Linked DNA regions of Macaca mulatta. The protein of the gene in region 1 purifies or fractionates together with the protein of each later gene. This does not show direct contact. Links are inferred from orthologs where the notes say so. Each region holds a gene or a part of one and is shown in the gene's direction. Other genes may lie near its edges. The genes, in order: MAP4K1 and NUDC.

Region 1 (3,806 bases):
CCACCGCTCTTCGATGTGCACCCTCTCAGGTAGGCAGGTGTGGGGTCCCCAGGCCCAGAGATCCTGTCCGGCCCTGGCCCAAAGCCCACCCTCAGCTTCTGCCTTCCATCCCAGGAACCTCCAGTTCAGGGATCGCCACTTGAGCCTACCTTGGCACATGCTGCAGCTCTATTTTTTAAACTTAATTTAACATTTTATTTTATTTTTTATTTTTTAAGACTGAGTCTTGCTCTGTCACCCAGGCTGGAGTGCAGTGGCGCAATCTCAGCTCACTGCAACTTCCATCTCCCGGGTTCAAGCTATTTTCCTGCCTCAGCCTCCCAAGTAGCTGGGACTACAGGTGTGCACCACCACGCCTGGCTAATTTTTGTATTTTTAGTAGAGATGGGTTTTCACCATGTTGGCGAGGGTAGTCTCAAACTCCTGACCTCAGATTATCTGCCCACCTCAGCTTCCCGAGGTGCTGGGATTACAGGCGTGAGCCGCTGCACCCAGCCTATCTTTTATTTTAATTTTTATATATTTATTTATTTTTGAGATGGAGTCCCACTCTTGTCACCCAGGCTGGAGTGCAGTGGCACGATCTCAGCTCACTGCAACCTCTGCCTCCCAGGTTCAAGTGATTCTCCCGCCTCAACCTCCTAAGTAGCTGGGATTACAGGCAAGCGCCATCAAACCTGGCTAATTTTTGTATTTTTTGGTAGAGATGGGGTTTCACCATGTTGACCAGGCTGGTCTCGAACTCCTGACCTCAGGTGATCCACTTGCCTTGGCCTCCAAAAATGCTGGGATTACAGGTGTGAGCCACCACGCCCATTTTAAAAATTAAGTAATTAATTATTATTATTTTTAGAGACAGGATCTTGCTCTGTCACCCAGGCTGGAGTGCAGTGGCACCATCGTAGTTCACTTCAGCCTTGAATGCCAGGGCTCAAATGATCCTCCTGCCTTAGCCTCTCACATAGCTGGTCCTACAGGCCCACATTGCCATATCCAGCTATTAAAAAAAATTTTTTTTTTTTTTTTTTTTTTTTTTGAGACGGAGTCTCACTCTGCTGCCCAGGCTAGAGTGCAGTGGCTGGATCTCAGCTCACTGCAAGCTCCGCCTCCCGGGTTTACGCCATTCTCCTGCCTCAGCCTCCCGAGTAGGTGGGACTACAGGCGCCCGCCACGTCGCCCGGCTAGTTTTTTGTATTTTTTTAGTAGAGACGGGGTTTCACTGTGTTAGCCAGGATGGTCTCGATCTCCCGACCTCGTGATCCGCCCGTCTCGGCCTCCCAAAGTGCTGGGATTACAGGCTTGAGCCACCGCGCCCGGCCAAAAATTTTTTTTTTTTTTTGTCTCACTATGTTGCCCCAGGTGGTCTCCAACTCCTGGGCTCAAGCTGTCCTCCCGCCTTGGCCTCCCCAAGTGTTGGGATTACGGGCATGAGCCACTGCACCTGGCCTTGCCGTAGCTCTACCACGCCATAAGCGGCTTCCCTTAGGAGAGGTATCCTGGTGCACTGTAAAACCCGAACCTCACTTCCATGCTGTTTCTCACTTTGCCCTCTGCTGACCGTAATGCTACTAGGAACCCCTCAAGCCATGAGGTCTGGCCCCCTTGAAGGTCTGAACTCCATATCCTTTCCCTACTATTCTAGAGTTCTCTTCCTCATGACCAAGAGTGGCTACCAGCCTCCCCGAATGAAGGAAAAAGGCAAATGGTATGAGAGAGTGACAGGAGGGAGGGTGAGCGAGGGCGGGGCTGGGGCTGGGTGGCCTGATGGGAGGGTCTCTGGTCCCCTCACCCAGAACCTGGCTTCTTCTTCCCAAGGTCCGCTGCCTTCCACAACTTCATCAAAGTCACCCTGACTAAGAGCCCCAAGAAACGACCCAGCGCCACCAAGATGCTCAGTGTAACCCTCCCTTCCCCAAGAATTCCCCTCAGCCCAGAATTCCCCGGGGCCTTCCACAACTCCCGAGGACATGGATAACTTCGTTCCACGGAGTCCCCGTGGCCTTCCGAAGTCCCTAATGCCTCAGAATTTCCCAGGACCACCGTCCACCACTAGAGACCCTCTGGGCTATACCCCAAAACTTTCCCAAATCCCCTGAGTTGCCAGAACTCACAAATTCCCAAAGGACTCAAGACTTGTTCCTGAGTGTCCTCTTGAATCCCCAGGGAACCACAGTCTCTTCCAAGACAACTGTGGAATTCTCCCAGCCCTGCTCTGAGAAATGTAAATTCTAATTCCTAAAAATTTCTTAGACTCCCCAGGCTGGCTGGGCACGGTGGCTCATGCCTGTAATCCCAGCACTTTGGGAGGCTGAGGCAGGTGGATCACTTGAAGTCAGGAGTTTGAGACCAGCCTGGCCAACATGGTGAAACCCCGTCTCTACTAAAAACACAAAAATTAGCCGAGTGTAGTGGCGCGCGCCTGTAATCGCAGCTGCTTGGGAGGCTGAGGTGGGAGAATCACTTAAACCCAGGAGGCGGAGGCTACAGTGAGCCAGGATTGCGCCACTGCACTCTAGCCTGAGTGACAGGGAGAGACCCTGTCTCAAAAAAAAAAAAAAATTAGCTGGGCATGTTGGCATGAGCCTGTAATCACAGCCACTTGGGAGGCTGAGGCAGGAGAATCAATTAAGCCCAGCAGGTGGAGGTTGCAGCGAGCCTAGAGTGTGCCACTGTCTGGGTGACAGAGTGAGACTCTGTCTTAAAAAAAAAAGAATACCCCAGACCTCTGACAGTTCCCTGGATTTCCCCGCCCTCTCCATCCACTGGCACCTTCTCCCCAGCTAGATTCCTTTAGTCCAGTCCCCAAGGCCCTGTACCAGCCCTCTCTGTCCATACCAGCCCTCTCTATCCACTCCAGCCCTCTGGATATGGACACCTCTTCCCTCCCCCAGCATCAACTGGTATCCCAGCCTGGGCTGAATCGAGGCCTGATCCTAGATCTTCTTGACAAACTGAAGAATCCTGGGAAAGGACCCTCCATTGGGGACATTGAGGATGAGGAGCCCGAGGTGAGCGCCTTGGCTGACAAGAGCACTGGGGACCGCTTGGTCTTTCTCAGGCTGTGCCTGCTGCGGGCAGTGCCTTCCCGCTGCCTCTCTTAGGGGGAGAACAGGCAGGGAGGATGGGGAGCTTGGTACAAGGCTGTGTGCCCAGAGGGTTACAGGAAAGCAGATGGACCCCGGGCAGGGTAGGGGGCTGCTTGGGGGTCCTGAGCCCTGACGTGGCTGCCCCTCTGCCCAGCTACCCCCTGCTATCCCTCGGCGGATCAGATCCACCCACCGCTCCAGCTCTCTGGGGATCCCAGATGCAGACTGCTGTCGTGAGTAGAGAATCCTTATCTCTGGGGACACCTGACCCTATAATAGACCTAAGAGACCCCCTTCCCTTACCATCAGGCCACCAGAGACCCTCAGTATCATCTGATCCTATAAGAGACCCCAGACAATCTCATCAGCACCTGACCTACAAAATGACCGTAGAGGCTGGGCGCGGTTGCTCACGCCTGTAATCCCAGCACTTTGGGAGGCCAAGGTGGGGGGGATCATCTGAGGTCAGGATGTTGAGACCAGCCTGGGTAACAGGGTGAAACCCCGTCTCTGCTAAAAATACAAAAATTAGCCGGATGTGGTAGTGCGCGCCTGTAGTCCCAGCTATTCAGGAGGCTGAGGCAGGAGAATTGCTTGAATCTGTGAGGTAGAGGTTGCAGTGAGCCAAGATTGTGCCACTGCACTCTAGCCTGGGCGACAAGAGCGAGACCGTCTCAAAAAAAAAAAAAAAAAAAGCAAGATGACCATAGAGTCCCCAGG
Region 2 (4,384 bases), on another chromosome or scaffold:
GAGCCTTTAAAGAATAGACTAGAATATGCCGGGCACAGTGGCTCATGCCTGTAATCCTAGTGTGTTGCGAGGCCAAGGCAGGTGGATCACTTGAGGTCAGGAGCTTGAAACCAGCCTGGCCAAAATGATGAAAGCCCCTCTACTAAAAATACAAAAAAAAAAAAAAAAAAAAAAAAAAAGAAAATTAATTGGGCATGGTGGTGCCTGTAAGCCCAGCTACTTGGGAGGCTGAGAATCACTTGAACCTGGGAGGCAGAGGTTGCAGTGAGCTGAGATCGTGTCATCACACTCCAGCCTAGGCGACAGAGCTAGACTTTGTCTAAAATAATAATAACAATAATAATGGATAGACTAGAATAAACTGTAGAGAGATGGAAGGTGAGGGAGTAGAGAAACAAGCAAACAAGCTTGCTGCAAATGAGAGCTGAAAATTGGGGAGGTAGCAGCAGAAGAAAGTGGGGTCATGGAATAATAATATAAAAACAGGGCTGGGCATGGTGACTCAAACCTGTAATCCCAGCACTTTGAGAGGCTGAGGCAGGAGGAGTGCTTGAAACCGGGAGTTTGAGACTTAGCCTGGGCAACACAGACTCCATCTCTACCCAAAAAAAAAAAAAAAAAAAGCAGGGCTTGGTGTGAGCCTGTAGTCCCAGCTACTCTGGAGGCTGAAGTGGGGAGGATGGCTTGAGTCCAGGAGTTCAAGGCTGCCGTGAGCCATGATGGCGCCACTGAACTCCAGCTTGGGTGACAATGCAAGACCCGCACCTTTAAAAACAAACAAAAAGACATTAAGGCATGTTTGTAAATTGAAGGGAAGAATAAAGGTATTTGTGATGCAGAAGCTAAAAAAGGGATAATTAACAGGCATAGAGTTCCTGAAAAGACTAAGATGATGAGATTCATTGCAAAAGTGGAGGGATTAGCTTGGATGGCTGGGTCCTGTCCCTGCACTAACAGAAGTGAAGGTCAATTTCAGCACCTGTCATAATTTCCTGGGCCCTGTGCAAAGTGAAAATGTGGGGCTCCTTATTCCAAAATTATTAAGAATTTCAAGACTACAACAGAAAAGCATTAAATCAAGCGTGGAGCCTTTCTAAGCCTGGGTGCTGTGCGACTGCAATTTCTACTCCCATGAAGCTGGCCCTGGTCAAGTATGAAATGAGGTCGATGAGAAGGAGGCTGTCCTGTGGTAAGTCCCTTCTAGGATTGGAAGAGATGAGTAAGGCTACTTTCAGCTTCACTGTTCTACAAGCTGGGGGGTCACTAGCAAGGGAGAGGAGCAAAACTTGTCCCTTTTTAACTTCCAACTCTGCCAGATTTGAGTCCAGGGCTTTCTAGAAGTCTCCACGGCATCGGGTGACCATAGCAACTCATGCCAAACTCTCAAGCCCACGGCTCCGCCCACCGCTTCGTGGACGCGCTTGTTGATTGGCTCAGAATGTCGACCAATGGTCGGCGAAGCGGGTTGCTTGCCGCACGGTCAATGGCCGCGAGCCGGGAAGAAGGCGGGAAGAAAGGAGGAGGAGGCAGGCCTGCAGGGGCCGCGCGGGTGCGTGTTTCCGGCTCCGCTGCGGAAGGCGGACGACTAGAGTCGTTGGGCCCGGCGCGATCCGAAGGAGCCTAGAGAGCGCGGGACTAGAGTGCAGAGCTCGGGACGTGGATCGGAGCCGGCGCGATGGGCGGAGAGCAGGAGGAGGAGCGGTTCGACGGCATGTTGCTGGCCATGGCTCAGCAGCACGAGGGCGGCGTGCAGGAGGTAACGGTCCGCGCGGCGTCGGCCCATCCGGCGGCCCTGGCCAAGCTCCTTCCGCCCTTCTCTGCCTTCCAGGGCTGAGACCCACCCCTGGGGCTCGCGGGCTTCTGGGATGCCCCCACATTCTCACCGCGCCCAGCTTCCGGCCTGGCCACCCGCTGGCGGTCTCACCCGGTTCGCATCAGTTCTGGGCCCCCGGCGCCCCTCAGTAGTAGCAATTATCGCGTCCCTGAGCTTAGGATTCCCCTTTAGTTTCACATATACCCCCAACCCCGTTTCCACTTTCATGGCGTCTTCCGAGGAGCATCCCTTAGTAAGAACCGTGCCAAATATAGTGATTTGGATCCACCAAGGCTTGGGGCGAGCCGTCGAATGTGTGTGGTAGGGGCGCGGGGTGATGTTAGCACGTGGTCTTGTTAGGCCTTGAATGGGGGAATAGGAGAGGAGGCCTGTGTTCACGATTAGTTTCCACCACCTACCAACTTGGAACCTTTACATCTCTCCAAGCCTGAGTTTCCTTGTCTGTGAGACAGCTGCGAATGCCGGTTTCCCGAGAGTAGTGAAGTACCGTAAGTTCTCAGTAATAAGGCTTTTTCATTCAACAAGTATTTGTCGTGTGATTAATGTGTGTCCCACACTCAACGCGACTGGGGATACAAAAACTTGTCCTCGCCCTGATAGAGCTTACAAAGAGCATTTCAAAGAGATAATTCGTGCACAGTGACAGACACGGTAACACAGTGTATGAATAATAAGGGCCAACTGTTCCAGATTCTGGAGTTGGTTTTTTTGGAACAAACACAAAGTTAGAGGTAGAAAAGTCCGTCAGGATCAGAACTGTCATTCTCAGAGCCAGAAAAGTGGCAGGGATTTGCCTAGATCATACAGCGTGGTCCTCACCTGGACAGGTCAGTGTGCTTCCCAGAGTCCATGGCTGATTGTGTCTCACTGGAGGTAGGTTTCCATTGAACTTTCTATTGCTATGTAACCCAGGTGTCTGGTGACCAAGGATTTCTAAGCCCTTTGTGGTGGGGAGAGTGCTTCTAATTTGGAAGTGTGAAAAGCCTTCCTGTCTCCATTCCTCTAAACTGTTTACACAAAACTGGATTTGGGAGTGAGTTCATTTTTGAACAAACTGAAAAAGTGTCTAGAAGCAAGAATGGAAATCACTGATATATGTTCTAGCGTCAGATTTCATCAGATTTAGACCCACTCTTGGGCAAATAAAGGGCTTGTGTGTGCTGACTTTAGGTCACCGCTAGATTGTTTCATTCAGCAAGAATTTTACTGAGCATGTACCTTTAGCTCTATCTGGTGCCCAGCATTGCAGGTGGCAGATAGACTAAGCCATGGGTCATGGTCCTATTTGTAAGGTGTTTACCCTCTGCCAGTGGGTCTCTTGCTCTGTGCCATACGTGGCTGAAGGCCTCAACTCCATGACCTCATGATCCTCACCAGGTCCCTAGAAATAGGTACTGCATCTTATTCCTGTTGTACAGAGTTAAGAAACTTCTGCAAAGTCAAAAGGTAATATATGTCCGTCAGATACTCAAACCCTTGGCTACACTTGTACTCCAGCCAGAGTTAATCCATCTTATCCTCCTTTGAAGTGCTTCATTTGCTCTCCTCCGTCTTGCTTTGACCCAGTAACTTAGTGTCTTTTTTTTTTTTTTTTTTTTTTTTTTTTTAGACAGAGTCTCACTCTGTCACCCAGGCTGGAGTGCAGTGGCATGATCTTGGCTCACTGCAACCTCTGCTTCCCGGGTTCAAGTGATTCTCCTGCCTCAGCCTCCCAAGTAGCTGGGATTACAGTTGCCCACCACCGCACCCGGCTGATTTTTGTGTTTTTAGTAGAGGTGGGGTTTCACCTGTTGGCCAACCTGGTCTTAAACTCCTGACCTCAAGTGATCCGCCCTCCTGAGCCTCCTGAAGTGCTGGGATTACAGGTGTGAGCCGGTGTCTTGATGGGGTTTTTAAAGCTGGGCCTGGGCTTTTCATGCCCTGGATGCAGAGGAGTATTGCATACACTTAGGCTGCTTCAGGCATCACAAGGAAAATGAAACGCGCACACTCACACAGGATATGAGAAATCTGCTTCATGGTGGAAGTAACTAAGAGAACCTGCTGGGGAGATGTCTCCTCAGTTGGGAGGCTCAGAGGAAAAATAGTCAAGTCCCAAGTTGCCTCCTAGACAAAAGAAGTTGACTTGTGTGCACTTGAAGGGCTCCCAAATGGCAGCTCCACACCTTTAATCTTCTCCCCATCTTTCAGCTTGTGAACACCTTCTTCAGCTTCCTTCGACGCAAAACAGACTTTTTCATTGGAGGAGAAGAGGGGATGGCAGAGAAGGTAAGTGTTGGAAACTGCTCTCTTTTCGGCAGCTCTGTCTCTTCAGAAGAAAAACTCACCTGGTCTTCCTTTGGCATAATAGTAACTAACTTTCAGCAGAAGCGAAATGTCAGAGGTGAGGAGTTGGGGAAGGGAAGGAAGCTGTCATTTCTTCGGTCTCCACTCCTTGCTCAGCGCTCTATCTACCTTATTTCCCATGATTTTTGCAGTTCTACAAGAGGGGCAGGTGTTAACTATCCCCGTTGAGGAAACTGGCTCAAGAGAGTTTTGCACCTTATCCAA

The links.
Region 2: the proteins of MAP4K1 (region 1) and NUDC purify together in Homo sapiens (affinity purification with mass spectrometry; 3 studies listed by BioGRID and IntAct, with this or other methods). This does not show direct contact. The link is inferred for Macaca mulatta from reciprocal best matches to the Homo sapiens genes MAP4K1 and NUDC.

Annotation. Positions count from the first base shown.
Region 1 is NC_133424.1:49,699,061-49,702,866, reverse strand, and holds part of MAP4K1 (mitogen-activated protein kinase kinase kinase kinase 1), read left to right. Parts: coding exon 1-29; intron 30-1,642; coding exon 1,643-1,705; intron 1,706-1,815; coding exon 1,816-1,897; intron 1,898-2,891; coding exon 2,892-3,008; intron 3,009-3,240; coding exon 3,241-3,319; intron 3,320-3,806. UniProt on the Homo sapiens protein: Serine/threonine-protein kinase, which plays a role in the response to environmental stress. Appears to act upstream of the JUN N-terminal pathway.
Region 2 is NC_133406.1:214,057,603-214,061,986, reverse strand, and holds the start of NUDC (nuclear migration protein nudC), read left to right. Parts: upstream 1-1,561; 5' UTR 1,562-1,675; coding exon 1,676-1,756; intron 1,757-4,024; coding exon 4,025-4,102; intron 4,103-4,384. UniProt on the Homo sapiens protein: Plays a role in neurogenesis and neuronal migration. Necessary for correct formation of mitotic spindles and chromosome separation during mitosis. Necessary for cytokinesis and cell proliferation.